4 linked regions of the Canis lupus familiaris genome follow. The protein of the gene in region 3 interacts with the protein of the main gene of each other region in a biochemical or structural test. Links are inferred from orthologs where the notes say so. Each region holds a gene or a part of one and is shown on either strand. Other genes may lie near its edges. The genes, in order: AXIN1, PLEKHO1, SMURF1 and SMAD5.

What was found.
Region 1: of the proteins of SMURF1 (region 3) and AXIN1, one has a biochemical effect on the other in vitro, tested with the Homo sapiens proteins (2 studies listed by BioGRID, with this or other methods). The link is inferred for Canis lupus familiaris from reciprocal best matches to the Homo sapiens genes SMURF1 and AXIN1.
Region 2: the proteins of SMURF1 (region 3) and PLEKHO1 form a complex in vitro, tested with the Homo sapiens proteins (4 studies listed by BioGRID and IntAct). The link is inferred for Canis lupus familiaris from reciprocal best matches to the Homo sapiens genes SMURF1 and PLEKHO1.
Region 4: of the proteins of SMURF1 (region 3) and SMAD5, one has a biochemical effect on the other in vitro, tested with the Homo sapiens proteins (3 studies listed by BioGRID, with this or other methods). The link is inferred for Canis lupus familiaris from reciprocal best matches to the Homo sapiens genes SMURF1 and SMAD5.

What each region holds. Positions count from the first base shown.
Region 1 is NC_049227.1:40,623,269-40,628,747, forward strand, and holds the start of AXIN1 (axin-1), read left to right. Parts: upstream 1-2,330; 5' UTR 2,331-2,479; intron 2,480-4,803; exon of another isoform or gene 4,804-4,860; intron 4,861-5,263; exon of another isoform or gene 5,264-5,479. UniProt on the Homo sapiens protein: Component of the beta-catenin destruction complex required for regulating CTNNB1 levels through phosphorylation and ubiquitination, and modulating Wnt-signaling.
Region 2 is NC_049238.1:60,057,910-60,063,159, forward strand, and holds the start of PLEKHO1 (pleckstrin homology domain-containing family O member 1), read left to right. Parts: upstream 1-1,547; 5' UTR 1,548-1,979; coding exon 1,980-2,006; intron 2,007-2,472; coding exon 2,473-2,619; intron 2,620-5,250. UniProt on the Homo sapiens protein: Plays a role in the regulation of the actin cytoskeleton through its interactions with actin capping protein (CP).
Region 3 is NC_049227.1:10,465,358-10,470,575, reverse strand, and holds the start of SMURF1 (E3 ubiquitin-protein ligase SMURF1), read right to left. Parts: upstream 3,684-5,218; 5' UTR 3,447-3,683; coding exon 3,392-3,446; intron 2,908-3,391; exon of another isoform or gene 2,831-2,907; intron 1-2,830. UniProt on the Homo sapiens protein: E3 ubiquitin-protein ligase that acts as a negative regulator of BMP signaling pathway. Mediates ubiquitination and degradation of SMAD1 and SMAD5, 2 receptor-regulated SMADs specific for the BMP pathway.
Region 4 is NC_049232.1:24,090,848-24,095,600, reverse strand, and holds part of SMAD5 (mothers against decapentaplegic homolog 5), read right to left. Parts: intron 3,448-4,753; coding exon 3,226-3,447; intron 1,162-3,225; coding exon 905-1,161; intron 1-904. UniProt on the Homo sapiens protein: Transcriptional regulator that plays a role in various cellular processes including embryonic development, cell differentiation, angiogenesis and tissue homeostasis.

The sequences.
Region 1 (5,479 bases), about 30 Mb from region 3:
CAGGCTGCTCTCCCCCTTCCCCCAGGCGCCTGTGGCTGGCGGGGTCACGCAGGCCTCAGTGCAGTACTGTCCTCCTGTCCTTGTGTCGTGAGGACATGGCCCTGGCGGCAGATCTCTCTGGAGGCGCACTATGGGAAGATGACCCGCGGTGCTCCTTGGCCTGGAGCGACGGGATCCCCGGAGGACCCTGAGGGTGAAGCCCAAGTTGGGGCGGGTGTGGAGGGTACCCTCGGACTACTCGCCGGCTGCTGTGCCCCTGCTTCCCTGTCGGCCCTGAGCCCTGGCCCTTGACCCGTGGGGGCTGTGTCAGGTCTGCTGGGTGAGTCGTCCAGACAGGGGACGTGGGAACGAACGCAGCATCACCAGCCGGGCCTGGCAGGAGCCGAGTGCTGCAGTCCCCTACCTCTGCTGTGGGGCCTCCTAGCCTTGTTCAGGGGAGCCTGTGGCGGCTCTGAGGAGCAGGGACAGCTGGGCTGGGATGACATAGAGCAGTATGAGAAGGTGACAGTCACCCAGGTACCCCCAACAGCGAGCTGATGCCAGAGCTGGCTCGTTAGACACAGGGCCCTGACCTTACGCCCCGGCTGGCCCAGCCTGGCTTTTGGGGGCGAGATCACCTCTGGGGTGTCTGCCCCAGGCAGCTGCAGCTGAAGACGCCAAAGAGCACTACCGATGCAAAGTGCCAGCCTGGATGACACAGCCGCCCCCAGGGCAAGCGGACGGGGATCCCGACAGAGCGGGGACAGGCAGGGGCCTGCCCTGACATGCGGTCCCCCAGGCTGGAGTGTCCATGGGCTGTGCTGGGCACCTTCTCACTGGTCCCGGGACAGTCGGAGCAGCACCATTGTGCCTGGCGTGGGCAGCCGCGTCCTGTCCCAAGGGCCCAGGCATCCAGCTCGCTCCCACAGGGGCCCGCGGGGTGGTGCCCGCTGCATTTTCTCGGGCACAGAGCCTCTTCCTGAATGCATAAAGGAAGTGCTGCAAGCACCCCCGAGTCTGCGCTCCGACAATAACCTATTAGTGCCCTGGAATATGGATGGTCAGCGTTCCCACCCTACAGGCACGAGCTCTGCACCCACAACAGCGGGCACCGAGCACGGGCCGCCTTGGTGCTCGGGCTCATGATCTTGGTGTGACGGCTGTGCATCCATCTGGGGTTTGCCGTGGGGACACAGGCGACACTGGCCCTCCCCCCAGAGCTCAGAACTGAGAGAGGAAAGACACCCAGGATGAAGGGTGGAGCCCGGGCGGCTGGAGCTGTGCCTCCAAGGGGGAGTCCTCACCACCCCCGCTACAACCGTCCACAGCCAGATGAGCCCGCGCCCCCCCCTCCTGCCGGGGCCTCGCCTGCCCTCCCACCGCCACCCCCCACACCTGTTGGGGCAGACCCAGAAGGGGCTAGGCCTGAGACCCCTCCCTCCCTCCAGAGGCCCAAATCCCATGGTCCCTCCTGCACTCCCCTCCCAGGAAGACAATGGGGATGTGCCCCCAGTGTCCCATGTCTGCAGCCTGTTCTCTGCTGCTGGCTTTCATCATCACACATCGGGCCATGCTGGACGCGCCTCAATATACTTGGTGCATCTTAGATGATTTCTTTTTTTTTTTTTTTTCGGATGATTTCTTTGAATCATTTTTTATGAGTGGTGTTCCTCAGCCAAGTGGATGAACACGTGTAAGGCTTCATTTTTTTTTTTTTTAAGATTTTATTTATTTATTCATGAGAGAGAGAGAGAGAAAGAGGCAGAGGCACAGGCAGAGGGAGAAGCAGGCTCCATGCAGGGAACCTGACATAGGACTCAATCCTGGGTCTCCAGGATCACGCCCTGGGCTGAAGGTGGCACTAAACCGCTGAGCCACCCGGGCTGCCCCACATGTAAGGCTTCAAAGCTCGCTTTATTTCTAAGTATTCATTTTATGTCTACGTTGAAGAAAATTATTTCATTTTTGCTTTTAAGTTTTTCATGTAGTTCCTGGAAAGCCGGAACAAATGTCCTCTACGGTTAATCCAATCAAAGCTTCTAGTGGCAAACCCTGGCACCCCCTTCACTGGGGGTGTGTGTGTGAAAAGAGGGTGCTCCATCAAGGAACTCACCTGTTCTGACATGAGGCTCCTGGGGCTCTTTGGTGTCACGTCTGGGTGGCTGACACAGTCCCTGCCAGGTCGCCCCTGCAGCACCGCAGGCCCGGTCTGGCCTTCCCTGGGCTCCCTCCTCTGGTCCACGGCTGCTCTCACCCTGCTCAATCGCCCCTCTGTGCCCACAGTTCTAATCTGCGGTAGCTGGGCTGCTGCATTTCCTCCAGGCCTTCTGACTCCCTTCCTGTCCCTGCAGGGTGGGAGCCCCAAGGAGCCAGGGGCCCGAGGGTCCTGTTCTGGTCCTGGGGCCTGGGGACACCTGCCGCCATGGGCCAGGAGGAGGATGGACGTGGACACAACCCTGGGAGCCTGGCCCGGCCACAGCAGCAGCTCTGCAGAACCAAGGCAAGCACTGGGGACCCGTGTCTGGGAGCGGGGAGGCAACATGAGGGCCAGTGTCTGGGAGCTCTTGCTGTTTGTCCAGCCCACCCAGGACTCCCATACCCCACAGAGACCCCGCTGTGCCCAGAAGGCCACCCACTGTGTCTCGTGGTCTCTAAGACTCCTAGGCTGAACGGAGTGGGGGAGGGGCTGCACTGGGGAGCCTGGGACTGTCCCAGCTGGATGCTGGTGAGAGTGACCCCCACTGTGATCACCCTAGTGGGGCCAGTGTGGGCTTGGTCGCATAGCCCCTCATCTATAGCCCCGACTGCCCCTGGGTGGTCTGGGCCTTCGGTAGGCTGGGGATGCGTCCCTGGTTGTCCTCATCCCTCACTGCCTCCCTTTCCTATGACCCCCTGGGAGAGATGCTGTGCTGAGACTTGAGGCAGGCTGGTGTGTCCCTACACCTGCACACCCCAGACAGGCACCACCCGTGGACATCTGGGTGGGAGGCTGGCTGTGGCCCGTGGAGCCCCAAGCCAGGACTTGTGCACTGGTATGGAGCCTGAAAGATGAGGACGCGCCGGGAGGGCAAACAGGGTCCAGGAGAAGATGTGGTGGCCTGTTGGACGGGGCACGGCCCTGCCCTGGAGACTGCGGGGAGCATCTCTTCAGGTGCAGGCCTCGTGGCTCTGTGGGGCACAGGCCCTAGGTGGTCACGGGGGTGCCAGAAGCAATTCCTGAGGGGCAGTGGTAACCTTTCAGTGCCACATCCTTCCCTTAGGGAAGGGCCCGGGGCGGGTAGACAAGGAGCTGGCCGGCTGTGCTTGCAGGTCGGGCAACAGCTGCTATGGCGACGGTGAAGGGCAGAGGTGGTGGTGCAGGAAGCCCTGCTCCCCAGGCTGCCGCGCCAGTATGACCTAGGGACAGCGTAGGAAGGAAAGCCAGGCGCTCGGCGGCCGGGCAGGGCGGCTCCGCAGCACCCGCACGGGCTCCCGCCACACCGCCGCTCGCCGCCCAGGCCCACCCAGACGCCCGCACCTGGGACCTGGCCCCGCCCACCAGGCGGCCCCGCCCCCTCCCCGCGCCCGCCGCTGCCCCGGGCCCCGCCTCCGCGCCGTCCGTCCCTGCAAGTGCTTGGGCCCGGGGCTCTAGGCCCCGCCCCCGCCCCGGGCTACGTCCCCGTCCTTCTCCCGCCCCCACGTTCCGGCTCCGCCCTACGCTCTCCGCTGCGCCCTGTGTTCGCGGTCCCTCCCCGACGCTCTGGGCCCCGCCTCCTGCTCCCGGATCCCCTCCTCAAGGCTGCCCCGCCCGGTGCTCCGGCCCCGCCCAAGTCCCTGCCCCAAGCCTTCGCCCCGCCCCCCGCTCCGGCTGGTGCGTCCCGTGCCAGTCCCGCCCCACGTATCCGAAACGCTCGCGTCCTGGCCCCGCCCCGAGCCTTTGGCCCCGCCCTACGCTCCGGGCGACCTCACTTCCGGTCTGGATCACGCTTCGGGGCCCCGCCCCCCGCTCCGGGCCCCGCCCCCCGCTCTCGGCCACGCCCCCGCGCTCCGCCCCACATATCGGCCCCGCCCCCCACGCTCGGGGGCCCCGCCCCACGCTCTTGGCCCCACCCCCCACTCTCGGCCTCGCCTCACGCTCTCGGCCTCGCCCCCACTCTCCGGGTCCCGCCCCACATCCTCGGCCCCGCCCCCCGCTCCGGGCCCCGCCCCACGCTCTCGGCCTCTCCCACACGCTCCGGTTCCCGCCCCACGTTCTCGGCCCCGCCCCCACACCCCGGGCCCCGCCCCACGTTCTCGGCCTAGCCCCTACTCCCCAGGCCCCGCCCCACGTCCTCGGCCCCGCCCCCACGCTCCGGGGGCCCCCCCCACGTTCTCGGCCACGCTCCGGGCCCGCCCCCGAGCTCCGGGCTCCGCCCTACGTTCTCGGCCCCCCCCACGTTCTCGGCCCCGCTCCGGGCCCCGCCCCCGCGCTCCGGGCCCCGCCCCACGTCCTCGGCCTCGCCCCCACGCTCCGGGGCCCCGCCCCGCGCTCCGGCCCCGCCCCCGCACTTCCGGGCGGCGCCGGCGGGGGCGCTCCGGCCTGGGCTTCGGCGCTCTGGGCTCGGGCTCCCCGCTCGGGGAAGCGATCGCGGCAGCCGCCGCCGCCGCCGCAGGACCGGCCGGAGTCGGTCCGGAGCCGCGTCTCCCGGTGCAGGCGGGTGAGAGCGGGCGGCCGGCCTCGGCGGCGCCCCCGCGGCCTGCCCCGCGCCCGCCTCCGGGCCGCCGCGCCGCCGCTGCGATGGGGGCCGCCCGGGGCCGCGCCCCCGCCCCGTCCCGCCCGCCGCGCCGCCGCTGAGCGCATGGGCCGCGCCGCGCCGCTCCCGGAGCCGGGCCGGGGCGCCGCCGCCGCCGCCGCCGCCGCGGGTGAGTCGTGCGGGCCGGGCGCGGGCCTGTGGGCCGCCCATTGTAGGCCGCGTAGGCCGGGCGGGCCGGGACCCGGAAGAGGGGCCGGTGGGTGCGGGCTCGGGGCGTGCGGGGCGGCGGCGGGGACGCGCTGCGAGGGCCGGGGCCGGGGCGGGAGCGGTGCGCGGGGGGCGGTGCGCGGGGTCCCGGGGGGTGGGCGTGAGCGGGGCCGCCCGCGGGCCCGGCCGGGATGCGCGTGTGCGCGGGCGCAGGTCCTGGGGCGGCCCCGTGACTCCGGCCCCGCGCGGGGCTCCGAGGCCCGAACCCCGAACCCCGGGCACCGGCTCCGCTCCCCCGAAGCCCCTAGCGCTTCCCCGCAGCTTGGAGCTCGGTGCCCGCGGAGCAGAGCCGCCCGGCCAGGCGGGGAAACTTTCTGCTTAGCGCTGAGGACAGAGGGGGAGCCCCAGTTCCCGGAGGGCCTCCCCGCGCAGGTCTGGGGTGGTTTATGAGGAGCCCCTGCCGCGCATCCCTGCCCCTCCGTTTTGCCCCCGTGCTCACCCTGCTTCTGCACGGAAGCTCTCCGGACACTTGCTTCGAGGCCCTTCTTTGGAGAACACACATGGTCTGAACCTGGACTCGG
Region 2 (5,250 bases), on a different chromosome or scaffold from region 3:
AGAAATGATATACAAGAGCATTTTGAAAGGATAAATTTCTATAATAGGGGAATTAATTACTATAGTAAATGAAAAGAGGTTAAAAGGAGTATTGTTGAATTAGGAAGAAAGGGGGTGTCTGGGAAAGGAGAAAAGCCCCTCTGCCATTTGACAGATGCCAGAAAAAGCCAAGGCCACCCCATTCCTGAAACCACAAAGTTGGGGAATACTCTATCTTGAGACGTCTCCAGAAAAAAGAGTTCTCTTTTCCTGCTCGTGTGCCAGGAATTTGTATTCATTTTGTGGCTATTGCATGTCTATCATATGCCAGGCAATGTGTTTGTTAGCTTATTACTGTTCAATAATTAGCACTGGAAGGTAATACTTGTGTATTTTCATAGGACTTTCACAGGTCATCTCCTGTATTCCGCTAACCTTCCTCGTTGATGGAATCGGCAGTTCATCCCTCACCGTTTAATATGTATGTGGAGGAACAGAGTCCTAAAGAAATTCAGTGACTTGGGGCACCTTGAGTGGCTCAGTCTGTTAAGTGCCCACCTGGACTCTGGGTTTCATCTCAGGTCATGATGCCATGGTCGTAAGATGGAGCCCCACCTGGGCTCTACATTCAGTGTAGAGTCTGCTTTCCCTCTCCCTCTGCTCCTCCCTCTCTCAAATAAATAATATCTAGAAAAGAGAGAGAGAAAGAAAAAGAAATTCAGTGACTTGACCAAAAGCCACAAAGTAGTGATGATGAAACTATTCCCCCAATCTGGGTTTCCTGACTCCCCTCTTCCCGTTAAATATGTACTGGGGAAAAAATGAAGTCACTAAAATGTTGGTCTGCAGGCTGTGAGGCGGATCTGGTGTAGGAGGCATCAGCAGAGGTTCCTCGGGTCAGGGCAACCCCCAGCCATTGTCCCCTTCCCTTCATTGGACTCGAATCAGATGTTTCCATGGATCGGATGTTTCCACCTCCATGCAGCAGGAAGAGACACGCAGGTAAGAGGAAGTTTAAGCCTCACCTGAAGCTTCTCTTTAAAGCCACATGGTCCTCTGGACAAGGCCTCTGGCGACAGAGAAATCCACTCCTGCCAGTACTTACCGTGTGTGTCTGTTTATCTCTCAGCCATCCTGAGTCTCACTTTTCTCTGTGCAATGGAGAGAGCCACTACCCACCTCGTACTTAGGAGGCTCCAAGAAGGCCCGAGGCTTTGTAAATGGGTAGAAACGTGTATTGCCATCAACTCCACGTCCCCCGCGACCCCCTGCACACACCTAAAACTTTTCCCCAACACGACCCACCCAGGCCACTGTCCCTACCACCCGGGGCGTGTGCGCCCCAGATGCCCCCTGTCGGTGAGGCGGGCGCCCTCCCACCTCCCGCTCTTGTTTGCTTGGGAGGGAGCCGGTCTCGATCTAGGGGATCTCGGTCTTCCGCAATCTCTCCCCGCCGTCCGCTCCCGCCGCCTCCGCCGGCCGTCTGGGTCTCGGGCTCCGCCCCCGGCTCCGGCCGCAGGTGCGAGCGCCGGCCCCGCGCCCCCGCCCCCGCCCCCGCCCCCGCCCGGGGGCCGCTCTCCGGCGGGCGTTAGGTCTGTCTCCCTCACCCTCCTCCAGTCGGAGACAAAGGAGGGGGGTGGGGGAGCGCACCGTCTCCGGCTCCGCGATTCGCCCTTTATTCTGAACTCGCAACGTCAGCGGGCCGCGGATGGAGGCGCGGGGCGCGGGCCGGGAGGCGGCGGCGGGGGCGCGCGGGGGCCCGGGCCGCGTGGGCGCCGGCATGGAGGGCGCCGGGGGGCGGGGGGCGGGCGTGCGTGCGAGTGCGAGTGCGAGTGCGAGTGCGAGTGCGAGTGCGAGTGCGAGTGAGGCCGGCCTCTAGTGTAACCGGAGCTACAAAGAAGGGGAGAGTCCGGGCGAGGGAGGGCGGAGCGGCGGCGGCGGCGGCGGCGGGGGCAGCTCCGCGGGCCGGGCCCCTTCCCCGCGCCGCGCCTCCGGGAACGATGAAGAAGAACCATCCCGCCAAGAGGGTGAGTGTGCCCGCCGCGCCCCGGACCCCGGGCGGCCCCTCGAGCTGCTGTGCGCCGCCTCGGGCCGGGGGCTCGCACTTGGCTGACTTTGCTGCTCCCCCCGGCCCCGGCCCGGCCCCGGCGGGAGACAATGAGGAATCCAGCGAGCTGCCTCGGATGCCGGCGCCGCGGGACCGGGGCTGCGGGCGGGGCGGGGGCGGGGGCGGGGGCGGGCGGGCGAGGCCCCCGCGCCCGGGCCGCGGCCGGGACCCGTCGGTCGCGAGGAGGGCGAGGCCGGCGGGGCAGGGGGCCCGGAGTGGCAACCTTCGGGGGCGCGGGCAGCGGACGCCGGGGCGCCGGCAGCGCAGCTCGGGGGGACGGTCGCGGGGACCGCGGGGACCGGGCCGCCGAGGGGGGTCGTGAGGGCCGGCACGACCCGGGCGGATCGCGGCAGCCGCTGACCGGCCTGTGCTGTCGCCCGGGGCAGGGGCTTCAGGATGGCAGCCACCCGTGCGCACCGCCGGAGAAGGTCGGCTGGGTCCGGAAATTCTGCGGGAAGGGGATTTTCAGGGAGATTTGGAAAAACCGTTATGTGGTGCTGAAGGGGGACCAGCTGTACATCTCGGAGAAGGAGGTAGGTGCCCTCCGCCTCCCGCCCCTGGCTCCTCCTGTTCCCGTGCTGTCCCTCCACAGGGGACCTGCCTGCCTCCGCGTCCCCCTGCCCTCGCCCCTCCCCCACTTTGTGCAGAAGCAAGTTCAGCAGTTCAGCTGGTCTCTACCCCTGTCGCATCTGCAGAGAAAGGTCACCCTTTATCCAGAAAACCCGAGTCAGAATTCCAAGTTGAGTGTCCATCTTATTTAATGATTTTTCTCGGCCAACACCTTTCTGACAAGGATGATAACCCCCCTCCCAGGATGTCCCAAAAGTTCTAAGTCCCCTGCTGCCCCCTACTCTATCCTGGCAAGCTAGCTGGAGGTAGGATTTTTTTTTTCTTTGCCAGAGCTGCTGAAAAACTCTATGGGGTTTCTTCTCCACCTCTTCCCGCTCCCCTACCCCAAGCCAGCTAACCTCTTTCCTGTCTCTTAGCCGGGGGCAGGCGCAGGCCATATTGCAAGTACAGCTGCCCCAATCACAGAAAACACATACACAGCCCTGGGTCAGTCTCCTATGGCCTCGGGCAGAGTGTCTGTGAGTGGCAGTTATTTCTGTTGAAGCCAATGATCCTAACCAGTCTGCTTCCCACTCCGTTAAAAGGAGGAGGAGGAGAAGCAAGGAACTCATTCACCACCCTCTTCATAACTTCTCCCATTTGTATCAGAAAGGAGACAAATGGAGTCACCAACCCCTTATCTGTCTCTGGGTAATTAAAATGAAAACCACAGTCTACATTCAGAACCTGAGCCCGGATCGTTGAATCCACACTCTTCTCCCTTTTCTCTCTTATTTCTGGAGATCGGTTAACACTTGAGACACTGACATTGGCCTCCATGAGGTGAAAGACATTCAGTCCCTCCTTCTGAGATGCTGTCAACACTAGCTTGGAGACTGTCCTGTGCTCCCCGGGTGGCACGGCCCCTCCTGCCCCGTGTTCCCTCACCCCAGAGCTAACTGGGAAGTCCACCCTGAGCTCTAACCTCTTCTGCTTTCTGCAGTAGACTATATTGAGGTAAATAAATCCTTTTATGGTATTGAAACAGACACAGACACAGCCCTAGAGAAAGTAATCGTCTCAACAGAACATGTAGCTAGGCAAGTAGGGAAGAACTAAGCCATGCCAGGGCCAGAGCAATCCCTCTTCGGGGTGTTTCGACCTGACTGTTGACGCCAGGCGGGAACTTGGTGATGGTAGGTGGTGAGAGAAGCCTTTGATAGGATTCATTTTTAAGGGCTACCTCTACCCAACCCCAAATCCCGTAGAAGGTTTTCCAATTTTCTGGCTTTCCAATTTAATAATAATAATAATAATAATAATAATAACAACAACAACAAGCAAGTGTCAAAGTGTATCTCCTGTCTTCCCCGAACTTCATAATGGCAGCAAACTCTGGTGAGCAATTGGAGAGAACTTCCCATATGTCAACAGTGAAAGGGTAGAAGGAACAAGAGATCTTTTCTCATTTGTATTTGTCCAGAGAACAGAGTCTGGAGCAAAAGTGTGCTTGCTCCTTGTTTGTGGAGGAAAGGGTACAGAGACTGGGGGAAGGATGAATGACCTCAGCCTCCGAGGCCTGGTGTCCTATGAGTCAGGAGCATCTGACCAGTCATGGGGCCCGCTGCCCCCTGCCGAGAGGGGTGCAGGAGCAGTGGGCACAAGCCTACCCTTACTCCTCTTCTTTGGAGCCCGTCCCCCTGCTCAGGCAGCCCTGGACTAAGGATGAAGCTACTGGAGGACTCTATGCTCTATTCTCTTCGCTTCCCACAAGCTCTAGAGCTAACAGATTCAAGATTTTTTTTAATTTAATTTAATTTTTTTTAAGTTTTTATTTATTTATTCATGAGAGATGCAGGCAAAGGGAGAAGCAGGCTCCCCACAGGGAGCCCAATGCAGGACTCGATCCCAGGACCCAGGGATCACACCCTGAGCTGAAGGCAAATGCTCAACCACTGAGCCGCCCAGGCGTCCCTCAGGATATTTTTTTAATGCAAAGTATGATGTTTGTAATTTATGTAGTAATGCAAGAACATCCCTAACCCATGGGACGCCTGGATGGCTCAGCAGTTGAGCATCTGCCTTTGGCTCAGGGCGTGATCCTGGGGTCCCAGGATCGAGTCCTACATCAGGCTCCCTATGGGGAGCCTGCTTCTCCCTCTGCCTGTGTCTCTGCCTCTCTCTGTGTGTCTCTTATGAATAAACAAATAAAATCTTTAAAAAAAAAGAATATTTGTAACCCTCTCCCCTCGAATTTTCTTTCTTTGTTGCTTTTCCATATAAAGCCAGGCTCTCCCACCCATCAAAGAAATCCTCCTGTATTTTTTGTTATTAATCATTTTCCTCATTCTCAAAGGGTACCTTATGATCATGAGGTTGATGTGTTGGAACAGAAACTTGATCTTCTGGAGATCTCCTGGTAGAGGAAATTGGGCATCTTTCTTGGCAAGGGAAAAGCCCTGTCTGTGGGCCAGCAGAAGGGTGGGGTTACCTTTGGAAAATGGGTAGTTATAAATGAGGCTTTGGGAATTTGGTGGAGGAAAAACCATACAGTGGAGAGCAAAGGTCTTAGAGTTGTGTACCTTCCGTGGGAATTGGAATCTACCGGTCCTGCT
Region 3 (5,218 bases):
AAAAAAAGTTTAGGCATTTGCTATTTCAACTAACTAGTTAACACTGAGAATAAGATTTAATTTGCTTGAAGAGCACCATGGAACCCTTAAGATTCAAAATTCCATTCTTTACAACAAACTGGCCTAAATGACATATCTGGGATTCATTTGCATACCACATAAGAACAAAGTTTTTGCAAACCCGGCTTGAATTTAAAATAAAAAATGTTTCCAAAGTGTTTGATTTGCCAGTGAACTCTAAATGTCTGCAAAATAATGTTCTTTAAGAAAACTTGATTTTGCACGAATTATGCCCCAAATCTAACTGGACCTGTTTAAAAACTATTTTCCTGTTAAAATACCACAAAGACATCCATTAAAGTTAAGTTCTTTGAATTATAAAGACTCAAATATTCTTTTACTGCAGAGGCCAGGCCTCCAAAGCAGCTCCACATACCACCCAATCATTTCCAAAAACCAAAAGGGTTCCATAGAGAAAAAGCTATAGCATAATCAACACCACAAAATTAAGGCTTCGCATACATCAAACACAAGTGCTGTGTTTTAACAGAAATCTCTGAATATCAGCATTGAGACTTAATAACAGACAGCATTAGTACCCAGCATAATGTGGAATAAGTAGGTACCCAAAATGAGAAAGAGAATCAAAGGTTGTTACAATAAAGTTGAAATCTCATCTTATATGAAGAAACGGAGGCCCAGCAAGGTTACCTAATTTGTTCCATATCATGCAGTTTACGGGAGATTTGCCCAAAATCACGTCTCTTAATTTTAAATCCAATGCTCTCCTCACCACCAAATACAACTGTGGACCTCAAATTTTAAAGGCTGTTTTATACTCCAGTGTCTTCAGATGTTGCCTGGAATTATACTCTGTGTGATATTAATTACTGGTTAGAATGCCCCTTGTTTTTTAAAAAAAAAATTTTTTCAAATATCACGCATAGAATTAAACTCTAAATCTTGTAACAAGAGTATACAACTTTTGAAAGATGGCTACCCAATATGCCAGAAAAGAAGAGATTTTCAAACTGCCCTGGACAACCTTAAAGATGATGCCAAAACCTACTCTACACCAAAACATCTGAGGTTCCAGCACCTCAACATAAATTAACATTCAACAGACAACAGACATGGATCTGCCATCACCACTAAAAATCCTGTTGCAGGGATGACCACACTCACACATCATCCCAATCACTAACACCAACAGGGATGAAGGGAAAGGGAGCTTTGGAAATAACACTCATCACTTGATCCTTCAGTATCAAATGCCATCCAAAACTCTTCAAAGCATTTCTGTATCTTTGGCATGTAAATTTCTGAATCCAAAAATAATTTGGGAGGACAAACCAAGCCCTCCCTTTTTCAAGGGAAAGGCTCAGACCTGCCAACTTGGTTTGATATATAAATGTGTATATGATACAAACATTGTAATGAGAACCTATTCCTTCTGAAACATTAATCACATTTCTACCAAAACTCATGAAATCAGTTATTTCTGCTTTTAACAAGAAAAATGAAACCAATCTGATGTCAATTACAGATTACACTGTAAATTAGAATCCAATTAAAGTTGTCAGTAATTAAAGTTTTACAAGCATTACAAAGTCAAAAACATGTCTTTCATGTAACCATAAAAATAACAATGCTTTATACTGTATCTACATAGTGAGAAGCATTTCCTCCTGGCCCTGGAACAGAGTATGTTCCTCCAGAAGCAAAGATCCCTGGGACAGATGGCTGTTACTTCACACAACCAGGGTCTGGATTTGGGTCCAAATCATTACCTGGCCGCCTTATCTTGTAACCTAATCTGACATCTTTCTACAAAAAAAAAAAAAAAAAAAAAAAAAAATTACAACACTTTTCTTGAGAAAAATGTGAGTCACGCAACAGCTCCGTACTTTCAAAGGAAACTTTCGTTTGAAAACGATCGCCATTGTTATTTTCATGGATTTTACCGAAATTAGGGCTACGCATCTGCCACAAAGTGTCCAAAACTCTCATTTGCTCTCTGAAAGCATCCGACCGAACTCTGACTCTGGGGTCCTCACCAGACTGGCCATCCAACAGAAAAATCCAAGGGAAAGCCCCCCGACAGGAACTAGCCTGAACTTTGTATTTCCCTTCCAGGGCTGGAAATACTCGAGTCCGGAAAGTCCCCTGGCAGACGCGTGTCTGCGGCCCTACGATCCGGCCTAAGGTGTGAATCTGAACGGGGAGGCGAGGCCGCAGCTCCGTGGCCCCGAGGGCCGGGGAAGGGGCCGCCGGCGAGGGGCGCATCCACCCGCGGCCGAACCACCGCGTCGCCGGCCGCAGCCGAGCTTCGCGCTCACCCTGGAAGGTGGCACTACAGAGCCTCCGAGGAGACGCGGGCACTTCATTGAGGACTCGGTGAGAGTGAATCGAGGAGCCGGCGTTCGTGCAGCTGCCACAGCCTCCAGTGGGGGGCGGGGGACCCTCAGCCCCACTCAGGGCTCTAGGATGGGGGGGCAGTGCTGGGAAAGTGCAATGGGGGAAGTACCGGGGCAGCACGGCAGGCAGCCGACAGTGGCCTGGCCCGAGGCACAGAGGAAGTGGGCCAGACTCAAGAGGTCTGGAGCAGCGGGGAAGTGAAGAGAACAGGACCGGGACACGCCACACCACAGGACTGAGGAATTCGAGGCTGAAGGAAAGGGTGGAGGCGGCGAGACCCAGCGAGGGGGCGGGGCTGCGAGATAAGCAGGGGCGGGGCCTAGGGGGAAAGGGAGCGAGCCCCGCCGAGGAGAATAAAGGGGCGGGGCCGGGAGGGGAGAAGCCGGACGGGGGGTAGGTGGGGGCGGGGGGAGTAAGAACCGGGAGGGTAGCGGGGCGAAGCGCCGGGTACCGCGGAGAAGAGGCCGCCGAGCCAGAGAGGATGGGGAGGTGGGGAGAAGCGAGGGGCGGGGCCGAGAGCGAGGGGCGGGGCCGGGAGGGAGAGCGAGGAGGCAGGTGAGGGGAGAGCGGGGAAAGCGAGGGGGAGGAAGGGGGCTGAGCGGCGGGGGGCGGGGCCACGAGGGGGGCGAGAGGGGAGAGCCCGCGGCCGGGTGGGGGCCGCGAGCAGGGAGGCGACGGGGCAGGTGGGGGGGGCAGGAGGGGAGCGGGAGGGCCGCGGTGGGGGGGGAAGGTGGGGGGTGAGGAGCGAGGGGGCGGGGCCGGCAGCCGCGAGGGGGCGGGGCCGGGAGCGCGGAGCGAGGGGCACTCGCCGAGGGGGGTGACGAGGTCCTGGGACAACGGCCGGCGTGGGGGAGGGCCACTCCACCGGGGCGCTCTGCGGGGAATTCCGGGGCTGCTGGGGGCCCGTGCGGGGCGCCAGCGGGCGCCGGTGGGGTGTGCGGGGGGAGGCGGGTGGGCCTCCCGCCGGCCGTACCTGTCAGACGGATCTTAATGCTGGAGCCGTTCCTGCGCGTCCCGGGGTTCGACATCTCCCGCCAACGATCGGGCAGCCGCGGATCCAGCGCCGCCGCCCCCCGGCCCGGCCCGGCCCGGCCCCGCCGCCGCCGCCTCAAGGTTACGGCTCCGGGCTGGGCGCCGGGGTCCGAGCCGGGACACAAACTCCGCGGCCCAGGCGTCCGGGCGGCGGGAGGATGGTCGAGCCGGGGGATCGGCGCTCGACCCGGCGCCCCCGACCCTCGCCCGCTCCCAGCCGAGCCCAGTCCAGAGCCGCCGCTGCCTCCGCCGCCGCCGCCACCGCCACCACCACCTCCTCCTCCTCCTCCTCAGAGCCGGACGCCCGCCGCCCTCGCCGCTTCCGCCGCCGCCGCCGCCGCCTCCCGGAGCCGCGCGCGCTCCCGCCGCCGTGCCGGCCCGGCCCTGCGCGTGCCCGCGCCGTGCGCCCCCGCGCCTGCGTGCGTGCGCGCACCCGAGAGCACGCCGGGGCGGGGCGGGGCTACGTCGCAGGCCTGGCTAGGGGCGCGCGGGGTCTGGAACCAGTGGCGGGGCCTGCCCACGTCCTCCCCCCGGGAGCCGGGCGAAGGAGCTCGGGGCCTGGGAGCGGAGCTCGCCCTGGAGGCCGGGGGAAGGCGAAGCTAGGGTGCGGGGCCACATGTGGGCCCTCGAACCGCCACCCTCAGTCTTCGCCACATTGTCCAAGGGAACAGGTTTGCAGATGCGGACCGAATTGATTTTCCGGGTGTCTCTCCAGCCTCCGGGGCGCCCGCCCCCCCCACATAGATATTGGAAGGAGGATTACGTGAACCCGTAGCCTGTTACGACACACCAAGCACCTTGCACAAATAGGTACCACTTTTTCTTTTTTTTTTTTTTGAGTAGAGCTTTCAGAGAATGCAGTTTCAATGGAGAGACTTCTCAAAGACACAAAAGTCCCCTACGTGTGTTCTGTGCAAGGTAGTGCGCTCTGTTGACCCGTTACACTTGCCAGAATCGCTGGAAGTGCCATATATGGACAAGGTAAACAAGATGGGAGAGAGGGATAAAGTTGAGTAGATGTTTGTTATGATCCAATCTGCATACAATCCAAACCAACAAAGGCAGCTTTACGGCCTTGGTTTCCCCGCCTTCTGCTAACACATCCCTCCCAGGATTGCAGAGTTGAACTAAAAACTAACATTTTCCCTCCTCCCAGAGTTGCAGGGTAGAGCTAAGAGCTCATTAGGCTTTCTCCAGCAAACAAACTCCTCTCTTTGTTAACCTGTAATGGAGAGGAAATAACTGTTACTAAAGAAGAAAAGCTGGGCTTGTTTACCAAAGTTGTTTTTGACCAACTACCTAATTCTTGGAAAGCCTTTATTTGGTTTGTATCTTAAGGAGCCAAGCTCCGAGCCCTTGAGCCACCCGCTTCAGTCAGACTTTCCTGGGGTCACAACCTTCTAAATAGATCCCTCTAGGGCCCCTAGACATGCCTTACCCCCTTGCCCCGCCTCAGGCTGAACCCAGTGGAAGCTGAGTGTCTCTAGACTGGATTCAGAGCTGCCTTGCTGCCTCTTGAGCTTCAGTCATTCAGTCAAATCAAAAGACATGCCCTTGGGTGGCTCATTCAGTTGGGCATCTGGATCTTGATTTTTGGCTCCGGTCATGACCTCAGGGTTGTGAGATCGAGCCTGGTGTCAGGCTCTACACTGGGCATGGAACCTGCTTGAGATCCTGTCTCTCCCTCTGCTCCTCCCCTGGTCTCTCTCTCTCTATCTCTCTCTCTCTCCCTCAAATAAATGTATCTTTAAAAAGAAAATGGGCCAGA
Region 4 (4,753 bases), on a different chromosome or scaffold from region 3:
AGAGTCCTGGGAGTGAGCCCTGTGTCCCTGCCTTGCATCCCAGCATATCAGGCTCCCTGCTCAGCAGGGAGTCTGCTTCTCCCTCTCCCTCTGCTCCTCCCCTCCCACACCCACGCATGCATACACTCTCTCCATCAAATAAATAAATAAAATCTCTAAAAAAAAAAAAAAGTTATGTTTCTATGGAGGAGGAATGCCTTTGGGGCTAATAAACTGATGCACAGAACAGACTTACAGCAAAGCAGCAAGGCAACACTGAACTGTGGGTCTGAATACCAAAAAGAAAAATCCCGCTTAGAGCATTTCACAGTTGGTTTTCTTTGGCTAAATCCTTAAGGACCAATTGGATAGAGTACAGGATGCTTTTATGCATCACTAAAATTCTTTCCTAATTTTACTCATAAGCCATCACCCTTGGAAGGCCAGTAAAATAAGCCCAAGAGCAAATGATAAATTTGAAAAGTTCTTTCAACTTTGCAAATCCTTAATAACAGAGGTTAAGTGCAAGGAAGATAATTTTAGTCTCCTAAAGAATTTTTTAAGTCACTCCAGTGGGATCTAATAATAATTGAAACTGCTGAGGCTAAGGAACTTCAAAAGCAATTTTAGTGTTAAATGCTTTCTAGCAATTCAGTCTTTAACTGAAGCTCTTTATAAACTCAGCCCCTATTCAATATCAAAATCAGTATCGTGTGTTTTATAACATCTGGATTATAAAATTAAAACTTCGACCTATTGTGTGGCTTTGAAGCTATAAATTCAAGAATGTCATTTAAAAACCTATTAAGTCAGGTCAAAAGTAAATACCGATTTTCATTTCAGGAAGACATTTTAAAATCATAACCTACAGAAATATGCAAATTTACAGTGACTCAAATTAAGCTACAGGTTATAACCCACTCACCTTGACAAAACTCATTCGGATGGTACACATTTTGGTGAGCTCATACACTGCCTCAAACCCATGGTTGACAGACTGAGCCAGAAGCTGAGCAAACTCTTGGTTGTTAAAAATTTTGAGGCTGCAACTGCTGGGAATCTTACAGACCGTGGTAGGATGAAAGCCATGATGAAAGTTGCAGTTCCTACTCTGAACAAATATGCTGCTGTCACTGAGGCACTCTGCATACACCTCTCCACCAACATAGTACAGATGAACACCTTAAAAAAACAAGCATTACAAGACTCACCTTAATAAAGGTGAAATAATAAAAATCATAAATTTTTTTAATAAAAAAAAAATGTTTCATTATACAATGAAACCAAAGAGGTTGTAGAAGGTGCAACCAAGAACACCCACTAACCTATAGCAAAGGCCCAACAGTCTGTAGATATGAAGCTACCACTAGAGGGCCTTAGACTGCCGAAGATAATCAAGAGGTTAATGGCCTCCATCTACAGTGGTCCTCAAATAACTGAGACTTAAATTAAGCTTAAGGTTGGCAGCTTATTAGGTTTATCAGTTCTTAGGTTCTTTTCTTTTCTTTTCTTTTTGGTTCTTTTCTCTTTGCCAACAATCATTTATTATCTCTAGGAGCAAAAGCAAAGGCAAAAAGACAAAGAAAGCGCAAATGATGAGTCCTTTCAAAGGAACGCTTGGTGCTAAGTTAATTTATCACAGAGTCAATTGGCAAAGTGTTTTGCACTCTTTTAACTAATGGAGAGTACAGCAGCATTAAAAATTTGGCCCTAAGTCACATATGTAATTGCAGGTCACAGGAAGAGACTTTAATTTTTTTTAAGAAGAGACTTTAAACGGCAGATTTATTTTACTTCCCTTGAAAAGAATGGTTTTGGTATTTAAAAATATATATATATGTAAATAATATGTGAAGTTTCAATATTAAAACTTCAACTTCTATAGCTAAAGTTATTTCCAACTTTTTACTTCCACAAAGAGTGTTAAAAAGGCCATCCTTGTATACACATACCTCATACACGTGTGAATCACAGACTTGTATTAGGCTATGATACAAAAAACTGTTTTGGGACACCTGGGTGGCTCAGCAGTTGAGCTTCTGCCTTTGGTTCAAGGCATGATCCTGGGGTTCCGGTATTGAGTCCTATTATTGGGCTTCCAGCACAGAGCCTGCTTCTCCCTGTCTAGGTCTCTGCCTCTCTCTGTGTCTCTCGTAAATAAATAAAATCTTTAAAAAAACCAACAACTGTATGTTGTTGTTTCTAAGCAAATAAAATGACCCATGGAGGAAGGGATCCTAGAATTAGATACCGGGAAAAATGGGAAAACAAATTCTAGAATTTTAGAATTCACCTGGTAGATTTCTCTTAAATCATTCTAACGTAGTGGGAAAATCAATACATAGAAGTGAGGCATTTCACCAAAAAAAAAAAAAAAAAAAAAAAAAAAATCAATGCCAAGTTGGCAACAGAGTCAAAAAAAGAACAGAAACTTCCTTTCAACTTATTTTTGGCCATAGTATTTTGCTGAATCTCTTCTATAAGAAATCACATGACAATTATAATTATGGACCTTTTGTTCTAACTTGGACTAAGACTTTCTCAAGTGAAAGAAGTAGAACAGAGCGAGTGGCAAAAACTAAACTTACAAGACAGGCAATACACTCTACCTGGGAAAGGTTTCCTTTCTGACCACTTGCATGAGCCTCTGATATTTCATTGAGGTGGGAAAAGTTACTTGTTTATTGTGGCAACTGTCTTGCTGGATGAAACATAAATAAAACCTGGTTACCTGAATTTAAAAGGCAGGAGGAGTGGTGGAGAGACTTGTCATTCAAACTGGATTTCCCACCTATAACCCAGCTCCTCCCCACATAACAGAAGTTCTTACAAGGCACCTCTTCTCAAAAAACCATAATTAAAAAATTCTAATCCTATGCCAGTAATCATATATTCCACAAATATTTGTTGTGTACTTACTGTGAGCCAGGAACTATTCTAGCTGCTGAAAATAATGCTATGAACAAGGCAAATTTCTGTAAAGCTTGTATTCCAGTCAAGAAGGCACTCAAAAAATAAATAAAGAAATCGTATGATTTCAGATCCCAAACAAAGAAAAACAAAGCAGGATAAGGAAAAGAGGACTGATGAGGTCTTGACTTAATACATTCTATGGTATCTGCACCTTGAGAGCAGAGCCCATGCTTCAGGCTCACATTACACTCTAGTGCCTTATACAGCGCACGGTACAGAGCAAGAACAGCAAATGACTGATTTCAACTGAACGCAGGGCAATGACAAAATTACCTTTTCCAATATGTCGTCTAGTGTTCTCAATTGTTGAATTACGATTAACATTTGACAACAACCCCAAGCAGAATCTACTTTTATTATTTGAAGGGTCTGTGAATCCATCTACTAACACACTAGTAGAAGATGCATGAAAAGCCTCCCCAACACGATTGTTTAATTCATAGTAGACAATTGAACACCAATGTTTGGGCTCTTCATAGGCAACAGGCTGAACGTCTGTAAACAAACCAGATTTAAAAAACGATTAATGAGTAAATTAGAAACCCCTGATTCTTTATGTGTTTCCCTTACAAACCAGATAAAAAAACGATTGAGTAAATTAGAAACCCCTGATTCTTTATGTGTTTCCCTTACAAACCAGATAAAAAAACGATTAATGAATAAATTAGAAACCCCTGATTCTTTATGTGTTTCCCTTTAAGCCAATCCAAGCACTCAATGAAAAATATTTTCAGATATTTCACTTAAGTCTCTCACTGTCCTCCCTGGCTTGGAGTCTGTACTTAAAAAAAGAAATGGCCATGAATATGATTTTAAAACTTTTCTAAATGCAAATATAAAGACAGGCAATATTACATTTATTTTACTTTTAAATTTTTATTATTTTAGTTGACATATAATACCATAATAGTTTCAGGTGTACAAGGTAGTGATCAGATACTCCTATACATTATGCACTGCTCACAATGGTAAGTCTAATAACCATTTGCCACCATATAACACTGTAACAATATTATTATTATTCCCTATACTATACTTTTTTCCCCTATACTATACTTCTCACCTCCGTAACTTATTTTATAATTGGAATTCTGTACCCTTTAATCCTCTTTTCCTGTTTTATACACCACCCTCCTCTGGCAACCACCAGTTTGTTGTCTGCATTTATGAGTCTGTTTCCGGTTTTTTTATTTGTTTATTTGCTGTGTTTTTTGGATTCCACATAGGTATGAAATCATATGGTATTTGTATTTCTCTGTCTGATTTATTTCACTTAGCATAACATCTTCTTGGTCCATTCATCTTGTTGCAAAATGGAAAGATCTCATCTTTATGGTTGAGGAATATTGCGTATATATCTCCTTTATCCATTTATCTATTGATGGACACTGACATTGCTCCCATATCTCGACTACTGTAAATAATGCTACAATAAACACACATGTATCTTTTCAAATTAGTGTTTAAAAAAAATAGTGTTTTCACTTTCTTTAGGTAAATACCCAGTAATGGAATTACTGGATAATATGGTATTTCTATTTTTAATTTTCTGAGGAATCTGCACACTGTTTTCTACAGTGGCTGCACCAATATACACTCCCACAACCAGTACACAAGGATTCTCTTTTCTCCATATCCTTGTCAACGCTTGTTATTTGTCTTTTCAATACTAGCCATTCAGACTGATGTGAGGTGGTATCTCACTGTGATTTGATTTGCATTTTCCTGATGATTAGTAATGTTGAGTATTTTTTCATGTGTCTGTTTACTATCTGTATGTCTTCTTTGGAAATATGTCTAT